Linked DNA regions of Danio rerio. The protein of the gene in region 2 purifies or fractionates together with the protein of the main gene of each other region. This does not show direct contact. Links are inferred from orthologs where the notes say so. Each region holds a gene or a part of one and is shown on either strand. Other genes may lie near its edges.

The links.
Region 1: the proteins of morf4l1 (region 2) and ash1l purify together in Homo sapiens (affinity purification with mass spectrometry; 4 studies listed by BioGRID and IntAct, counting the BioPlex papers as one, with this or other methods). This does not show direct contact. The link is inferred for Danio rerio from reciprocal best matches to the Homo sapiens genes MORF4L1 and ASH1L.

What each region holds. Positions count from the first base shown.
Region 1 is NC_133194.1:10,091,014-10,096,300, reverse strand, and holds the start of ash1l (histone-lysine N-methyltransferase ASH1L), read right to left. Parts: upstream 3,093-5,287; 5' UTR 2,964-3,092; exon of another isoform or gene 2,407-2,963; intron 2,089-2,406; 5' UTR 2,007-2,088; intron 1-2,006. UniProt on the Homo sapiens protein: Histone methyltransferase specifically trimethylating 'Lys-36' of histone H3 forming H3K36me3. Also monomethylates 'Lys-9' of histone H3 (H3K9me1) in vitro. The physiological significance of the H3K9me1 activity is unclear.
Region 2 is NC_133193.1:21,427,946-21,432,472, reverse strand, and holds part of morf4l1 (mortality factor 4-like protein 1), read right to left. Parts: intron 3,822-4,527; coding exon 3,720-3,821; intron 2,396-3,719; coding exon 2,307-2,395; intron 2,167-2,306; coding exon 1,994-2,166; intron 1,418-1,993; coding exon 1,333-1,417; intron 1-1,332. UniProt on the Homo sapiens protein: Component of the NuA4 histone acetyltransferase (HAT) complex which is involved in transcriptional activation of select genes principally by acetylation of nucleosomal histones H4 and H2A.

The DNA.
Region 1 (5,287 bases), on a different chromosome or scaffold from region 2:
CAGACAGACTTAATAAAATCACAGAAAATTGTAACATATATTAGACATGGGCCGGTATAAGATTCTGACGGTATGATAACCTCCCTGCTAAAAAATCCAGCTTAAACCAGCCTAGGCTGGTTGGCTGGTTTTAGCTGGTCGACCAGGCTGGTTTTAGAGGGGTTTTGGCGGAGTGCTATAAACCCAACAAGTCTCTTTTTTATTTACTGACGTTAAATTCGGAGCCAAATCCCAGTGATTTTGATGCCCACTGCAACGTGATGTAGGAGTCCGGTTTTCCCCGCCCACCAAATTGATTGACAGACGCCATGTATCGATAATAACATGTACACACGTCCACAGAATTTTTTTTTTGCTTGACTAGCCTGGTTTAAGCTGGACATAGCTGGACATAGCTGGTTTTGGCTGGGCTCCCAACCTGGCTAGGCTGGTCAAGCTGGTTTTAGCTGGATTTAGCTGGTCATTTTCCAGCCTGACCAGCTAAAACCAGGCTGGAAATGGCTGGAAACCAGCCTGGAAGTGGCCAAAACCCCTCTAAAACCAGCCTGATTGACCAGCTAAAACCAGCCAACCAGCCTAGGCTGGTTTAAGCTGGATTTTTCAGCAGGGCTTGAATAAAAATATCACGGTTTCATGGTATTGTGATTACTGCTCTATAATATAAAAATATTTTTTCAATGTCTGGGTAAAAAACAAAGACGTTGTTCCACTTTGAACACAATACATTTTATTTTGAGAAATATTTTAAATATTTTGGAGAAGTAAACATGTCAGGCTAAATAATTCAAATGAATCATTGACTTCTGCTGTCTTCATTTGTTTCAAAAACACTGTTTTTTTTACAATTTAAAATGGCATTTTTGGATATATTTTCTGCTGGAGATACTGTTGTCCTAAAAAAAAAAAAAAAAAAAAATGTAAATAAAAAATCTTACACATACCCTAGGATTGGTAGAAAATTTCGACGATTATAAAACCTTGACTTTTCCAAACCGCGTTATAGCTTGAAAACGGTTATCATCTCATGCCTAACAAATGTTTTAATCAGTTTTTTTTGCAAAAAAAAATGTTCTGTGGACGTGTGTACATGTTATTATCGATACATGGCGTCTGTCAATCAATTTGGTGGGCGGGGAAAACCGGACTCCTACATCACGTTGCAGTGGGCATCAAAATCACTGGGATTTGGCTCCGAATTTAACGTCAGTAAATAAAAAAGAGACTTGTTGGGTTTATAGCACTCCAATATGACTGTCAACACTATACATACACACAGTTCTGTCCAAAAAACTTCCAAAAGTTGACTTTCATCATTGGTGCACTTTAATCTATGTTACGCCTCGCAACTTTGCATCAAATAGAAACACAAAGCACCACAAAACAAAACTAAACTGGCTAACGTAATGTTGCCGGCAAAAGCATTGGGATCTGCTATTAATCTGCACTTATATTTCAAATCTTCCCCGACCACAAATAAATGCCTGAAATCACTGCTATCCACTCAAACAGCTCTCAGTCAGCGGGAAGCTTCTGGTTTCCTTGACAGCGGAGTCAGAGGTCAAAGGTTGCTCAAGGGCTCCAGACACCACTTTCTACACTTTCCTCCACTTCTCAGACATCTGCTCCAATGGGGAAAAACTATAACCAGGCAAAGGCGCGCGCAATTTGCACGTGCAATGAACCCTATTGTGAACGAGGTTAACTGAGGATGATCTACTGGCAGGTGCCACTGAAGGTTCGTTTCTATGAATTAAGCCTTTTTTATGAACACTTAAGGCTCGCTGATCATAACTTCTGAATGAATGAACACCGTAACACTTTCCAAGCCGCATTACGTTTAGCAATAACAAACAAACAAAGCGTTACGCGCATGTCATGCATCAAAATACTGCGTTTTCCCTTTCTAGTTCGAACAAATGTACTCAAAGAATACACAAACATCTAGATTACAGAGCATTTATAGCACATTTGAAGTCTAAATGCAGAATAAAGTATGAAGAACTTACCTTAGCGAGCTAGAACGGCGTTCACATAATTTGCGGTCAAAATCCTCCCAGCATGGTCGCTCGGATATTTATCTTGAAATTGCTGATGTACCCAAAAAAAGCAAGAGGGAAAAAGGCGTCACGTTTCTCGTAAGAACATTCCAACCAATGTATGACATAACAAAACATTAGCCTAACGTTAGTCTGTTGATCCAGTCACCCCGCAAGTAACGATATTTATCTACGTGAGGCGCACTGGTCACGGTTTATGATCCTAATATAACGTTAGCTAGCATAGCTCGTTAGCGAAGAGCATATATATTGAGCTCAACCTCAGGACACTACTAAATATGTCCAAACCCAGTCTGTGTGAAACAATAATAGCAAGTGAAAGGGTTACTACAGCGGGACGTCAAAATACCTTGCTGCCATTGCAATTTTGAAAGACACATGTCTGGAGCAAGGTAAGTTGGTTTTGCTCAACATCGAGGCTGTAACCACACGTACACAACGTCAACGGCCATCCAATTCACGTCTATGTGTTGTTTACAACCCTCTATACGAGTGAATTCACACCCGCTAATCACTACTATCAACCCCACACTCTTAACGAAACGACTGAGCTGTCCTGTCAAGACACATTTGCTGGCATTGCTAGCAAAACCCCCGCGATTTGTCCATACGAGTAATGTAACGAAGCAACCGCTGCTGGTGCGAAGGGAATGAGTAAACCGTCCCCTTCTCCATCAGGCCTTCAGTAAAAAATAACAAAAAATGAGCATAAATATCCTCGGAAGGACCAAAAGAAGCGGAATGCAAAAATCTAACGCTCTCCGGGATGAGCCCTGCACGGGTTATTAAAAACACGAACTGTCAACAAAATGGCGGCTGCTGCGTTGAATCAACAGAGGGACCCGAAATGGATCTCTCCCTCAAATTCTTCCACCTCTCCCCTGTCTCGTGTGCGTCGCTCGTTACCCGTGATAATCCGATATGTCGCCCGAAATTCTCTCCGGGTCCGAGTTAGTGAAGCTCTGGCTCGTCGGAACGGGCCTCTCTCGTCAATCGGGCCTCCATGTCTGCTTAGCCCGTATCGTTTCTGTCAGTACAGCACGGGCATTCTCACAGGCGGAGCGGGAGGAGGAGGAGGAGTGGACGGCCAGGAGGGAGGGAGGAGAGGGCAGTTGTCGACTCGACGGCTGTTAGGCACTTTCTCCTAGAAATTCACTTACACACTTTTGACTAAATCTAGGGAGTAATGTTTTTTATTATGGTCCATGATATAAATATACAACGAACGAGCACACACTCTGTAACGTTACCTAATTCTGAAAAATGTTGGTTCGTTAAAAGAAAATGTAGGCTATGACTCCTCAAAAGGGGGCTCGTGTTGTCGCACGCTCGTGGCAGTGTTTACCCACAGTGAAATATCGAGACTCCCGTGGGAATCGTAGCCGTGAGGCGGGTTGTGTAACCGTGTGAGTGAGCAGAATCATTAGGAGAGGAGCTGAATATGTTTTAAATTAATGATTCACTTTAAAGCCCCCTGAAATCATTTTAAGTTTTTGTTTCAGATTATCTGTAAGATTGTGAGCTCCAAAAAGGAGTCAAAAATCACATTTGGAAGATAGAAAAGTCAGATTTTAAAATTGCAGTTTATCACTTTCACTTTTTTATGACATCACGATGCACTTCATCTTCTCATCAGATTATCTGACCATCAAATGCCCTTCAGTGAAGCATTCCCACTCCCCGAAACAATTGGTCATTTATTCGCATGTAATTAAGCATTTATACCAAGGTTTGCTATAACAATTATACCAAGGTTTGTCTAAACACTTGGATTTATGAAGAATTTTCATGGAAAGTTGATCTAAACTCCTTAACGTTTAATATCTAATTAGCAGTGCTTCTCAAATGTGTGTTTTAAGTTAATCATTTACTTTAAATCCCCCTAAAAAAAATTTAATTGTTTATTTTCGGTAATCTATAAGATTGTGAGCTCCAAAAGGAAGTCAAACTTTACATTTGGAAGATGTGAGCATTTCACTGTTTTTTTGACATCACCACACACACATCTTCTCATCATCTCAAATGCTCCTCAGGATACGAAGCATCCCGCCCCCCACTAGACACAGCTGGAATTGGTCATCTATTCACATGGAATTAAGCATTCATACCAAGGGTTTGACTGAACACTTGCATATATGAGAAAATGTAATGGAGTGTTGATCTGAACTGCCCACTGTTTATCATCAAATTAACTATGTGTTGTTTTTGTTTTTTGTTTTTTTATCGAATCTGTGTTTTGGATTAATCTTTCAGTTTAAAGTTCCCCTGAAATCATTTTGAAGGGGTTTGTATCTTAAGGTTATCTATAAGAGTGTGACCTCCAAAACGACATTTCGAAGATACAAGTAAGCATTCACAAAATCAGTTTATCCCTTTCACTTTATTATGACTCAATCTTCTCATCAGATTTTCTGACCATCAAATGCTCTTCAGTGGAGCAATCCCACTCCCCATAACAATTGGTCATTTATTCACATGTAAATAAGCATTTATACCAAGGTTTGCTTTACTAATTATTCCAAGCTTTGCCTAAACACTTGGATATATGAGGAAATGTAATGGAAAGTTGATCTAAACTCCACTTTTATTATTTAAATAATCGTGTTTCTCAAGTCTGTGTTCTAAGTTAATAATTCACTTTAAATCCCCCTGAAATTTTTTATTTATTTTATATTTTAGGTCATCTATAAGATTGTGAGCTCCAAGTCAAAATTAACATTTGGAAGATGTGAGCATTAAAAAATACAGTGTGTCACTCTCAGTTTTTTATGACATCACACACACATCTTCTCATCAGGTTTTCTGACCAATCCAATGCTTTTCAGGATGCGAATCATCCCGTCCTCCACAAGACACAGCTGCAATTGGTCATTTATTCACATGGAATTAAGCATTTATACCATGGGTTTGCCTGAACACCTGCATACATGAGAAAATGTAATGGAGTGCTGCAGTAACAGTGCAGGGAGCAAACCCAAAAAGCCAGGATGTTGAAACGTTCTGTGTGCATATTCAATAACTTTTCTATGCCCCAAGGTAGAAAATGTCTTTTACACACGCCTACACAGTCAGCATACAGGTAAGTAGGATTTCAACTCCGGAATGGTGCATAGTGGGCTATACAGCCTAGAGGGATGAACAACTCAGTGTAAATATGGTCTGGATTCACATTAATGTCACAGAAACTGCTACAATACACGTATGATCTACTCTAGTCCACACAAATTACA
Region 2 (4,527 bases):
GCCGTCAGAACTGCCTTAATCCTTTGTGGCATAGATTCAACAAGGTACTGGAAATATTCCTCTGAGATTTTGGTCCATATTGACATGATAGCATCACAGAGTTGCTGCAGATTTGTCAGTTGCCATCCATGATGTTAAACTCCCGTTCCACCACATCCCATGGATGCTTTATCGGATTGAGAACTGGCGACTGTGGAGGCGATTTGTGAACTCATTGTCATGTTCAAGAAATTAGTCTGAGATAATTTGCACTTTATGACATGGCACGTCATCCTCAGAAGATGGGTATACTGTAGTTATAAAGGGATGGACATGGTCAGCAACAATACTCAGGTTGGCTGTGGCGCCGACGCGATGCTCAATTGGTACTAATGGGCCCAAAGTGTGCCAAGAAAATATCCCCCACACCATTACACCACCAGCCTGAATCATTGATAAAAGGCAGGATGGATCCATGCTTTCCTGTTGTCGATGCCAAATTCTGACCCTACCATCCGAATGTTACAGCAGAAATCAAGACTCATCAGACCAGACAATGTTTTTCCAATCTTCTGTTGGTCAATTTTGGTGAGCCTGTGGGAATTGTAGCATCAGTTTCCTGTTCTTACCTCACAGAGTGGCAACCAGTCTGGTCCTCCTGTACCCGGTGTGGTTTGACATGTTTTGTATGCAGAGATGCTCTTCTGCATCAGTTGTAACAAGTGGTTAGAGTTACTGTTGCCTTTCGATCAGCTAGAACCTGTCTGGCCATTCTCCTCTGACCTCCGCCCTCAGCAAAGCATTTGTGCCCACAGAACTGCCACTCACTGGATATTTTCTCTTTTTTGAACCATTCTCAGTAAACCCTAGAGATGGTTGTGCTTGAAAATCCCAGTAGATCAACAGTTTCTGAAATACTCATACCAGCCAATCTGGCACAACTATGCCACTTTCAAAGTCACTTAAATCACCTTTCTTTCCCATTCTGATGCTCGGTTGAACTGCAGGTCTTGACCACGTCTACATGCCTAAATGCATTGAGTTGCTGCCATGTGATTGGAAATTTGTGTAAATGTGCAGTTGGACAGGTGTACCTAATAAAGTGGCCAGATAACGTCAAGCATTTTTCAACTGGCTCAGTGAAGTCAGTGGTTTAAATTTTGACTTGCCCTACCAAAATTTCACAGAGACAAACAAATACACACACTTCTTGATCTGCACTGCTTGACATTAGCCCAGCTTCATTAAAAATGGCAGAGAAAATAACCATCAAACATTATCTCACTAACAGCCCCATAAAGCTGCTGAATTTTTCCATGTCACAATTGAAGAATTAAAATCAATTCTCCTTACTTTAAAAAATCTTGCAGGTAGCTGAGAAGCAGAGCTAGACTCTTTTCATCCAGAGGTGTGTAGGCCAGCATTGCTCCAATTCTCACTGGCAAAAGACATGAAAGAGACCATATCATCAATTACTAAAATTAAACATGAATGTAATTACCAGTGATGAAAAACTAAACCTTCTCTTTGATGCAACCACTAATTTTTTAGCTCTTTTAACTCATTCAAACCTTCATTGCTGCGTTTGAGGTTCGATTAAGCCTTGAGGATTAAATTATGGGACCGGGCTACTATAGTCTTTAAAAAACTACTATAGAATTCAAAGCTCAAATTAAACATTTAGTGTCCTGTAAAATATTAGAAATGGACTTTGCTATACAGTTAGCTAGCTTTCAAAACACATTTTAATCTACAATGATGAAGGGCAGTGGGTTGCTGAATAACTATAGAGAGATTTCAGAGATTTTTTACTGCCTTTCTACACCTCCCTTATTGCGTTCAATACTTTTTCTCTGCATCATTTCATTTTATTACACATAACTTCATTTGTATACCAATTAGATTTGTTTTCTTTGCATATTTGTATTTATTTGGTTGTTAGCAACATCCTGGGAAAATACCAGGTATACAGCTAGTAAGCTTTCAAAACACAATATAGCTTTTAAAGTCATACCAAAAAGTCTCAGCAAGTGCGGTGCTCCGTAGATCTGAGACATGGATGTATCTGGATGGTTTGCGAGGATCTCTGCATACTGCGGCCTCTCAAACTTGTAGAGAAGCTGAGTGCCCAACATCACGTTGAAGTACTCTCGGATTCCAGCAACCACCTCGTTCACGGCGTATTCCCTGAGAAAGGATCAAGCATACAGTATGAGTGTCTCTCCAAAAACTGATAAATATAACATAACAAATGTAAGAAATTAGTTACTACATATAATAACTTCTTAGCTGATTACACTGGATAAGACGATGGTATACAAACACACTTGTTATCAGAGTTTCCTCTTGATTTCTTGTAATTTGCATAGTCCTCCAGGACAGCATCCACATTCTTTTTTGCAGGCAAGTGAAAAAGCTAAACAAAACACAAAAAAATTTAATAAACAAAATGTATTTTCCACGCAAAGTACATTTTAAAACTCAAAATATAATTCTATGACCAATTTTCAAAATTCTGGCAAACACACAGTTAAAAAACTTCATCATATGCCTGATTTATACCATTACCTCATGTTTTCCCATTTAAATTGTAGTTATTGTAGTTTGTCAAGTTAAAATACATAGAAATGAGAAATGATGCTTCAGCAGATATAAATAAGCCTACATTTTAAATTAAAGCATCTTTAAAATATTTGATTTAAATGTCATTTTAAGGTTTTAAATACGGATTTTAACAAATAAATTGACTATACAGTGCCATCTAAGGATGCAACGATTATAGATTTTGGTTGTACGATTCTAGTCTGAGGAATTATCACACGGTTATCACGATTATTATGCATTATTCATTAATTCCAAAACAATACTAGTTTCTTATGAACACTCCTTAAAGTGTTATTTATTGCTGCTCAGTATCCATCTAACACAGCACAAACTAATAATAAAAAACAAACAATAGTCTATTTCTCTTTGGACTTATAAATAAGTGAATCATGTTTTTGTCGTTTGGATACAAGTAATAATTTTACACTGAAAATAAATGACAGAACAACGAATAAATGAATAAATAAACAAAAACAGTATTTCTCTAAAAAAAATCTAAGCTATATATTAGCTAAGAATTTCCCAAACAAATGTAGTCAAAGACTGCTGGACCACTGTCGAAAAAGTACATTTGATCAACCACATTACAAAATTGTTTGGTAGCCTATTTTCCTTTGTATTTCTACTCCAAAGAAAAAAAAAATACAAAAGTATGAAGCTGAGCGGTCAGTTTTAGTCTCGTGACTCGCGATGCACTTGCAGCATTCTTTCAACTAGTTGCATCTGAAAAGGACCCTTAAATAACTCTATTGGAAATAACAAACTTGTGTGCGCAAAAGAAGGGATGTGTTACATTCCTTAGTTAATAGCCTCAGCCATAGTTAAAATCAACCTTTAATTTAGTGTGTGCGGGTATTCACCTGTGTAAAGGCTCAGAACTTTAAACTAGGGCACAGTTGGCATATCCTTGTTTAGTTACAGCAGTTTTGTTCCATGCAGACACACGGTGTTAAAAAGCCTTTACGATTAATTAACAGTGATGAATTAAATCGCGGTTAATAGTGAAATCCGTGTATCTTTGCATCCCTAGAGCCATCCCCCTTTTTTTGGTCTGTCATTCCATATTATCAATATATTCAATAAAGGAGGAAAGCAGGAATTGGATTACGCTAAGAATGAAATGAGGCTTTATTTACCTGCTTCTGTCTCGTAATCAGGTCCCAGTCATCAACCAGCCATGGTTTTAATTCTTCAGGAATTTTTACTTTTACTTCTACTCTGTTGATAAAAGTCTCCTCCTGCACACAAAACCAGCAAGGCCATCAAAAACAGCCTCACTCTTAGCATCTGTTAAGACCCTTCTTTGGAGAAAATCATGTTTTTAATATTGTTTACTTGTCAATCTTGTCAATATGTGTAAAAGACAAACCATGCATTAGGTATATTCTCCATTTACCTACCACCACAAGCATGTAAAAAAAAAAAAAAAAACAAGTCTTACATATGCCATATTCACTTATTTATTGTTCAAAGAATCTAATATGTTACTAGGTACAGTATCCGTGTATTATGGCAAACCGAACAGGTTTTTGTAAAATTAGCAACACATTCTTAATGGTTTATTATATGTTGTGTGGGGCTGATTTGCAAATGTATGATTGTCATTATTTGCTCACCCTGGTGTTGTTGCAATGCAGCATGTCTGTTTTTCTTTTTCAGAACACAAAAAAAAATAGGGTATTAAAAAAAGAAACTGCGAGTTCATGATGTTCTAAGATAAGCATACAAGTGAAGTGACAGGTCTAATAAATCGTTTCATAAAACATAAAAAGCATCATCTTGACATGTATTCTCTTATTATCCCTTAAGCATGAAACGTTTTAAGTTAATAAGTTGATGTGTATATATATGTATATATATATATGTGTGTGTGTATATATATATATATATATATATATATATATATATATATATATATATATATATATATATATATATATATAT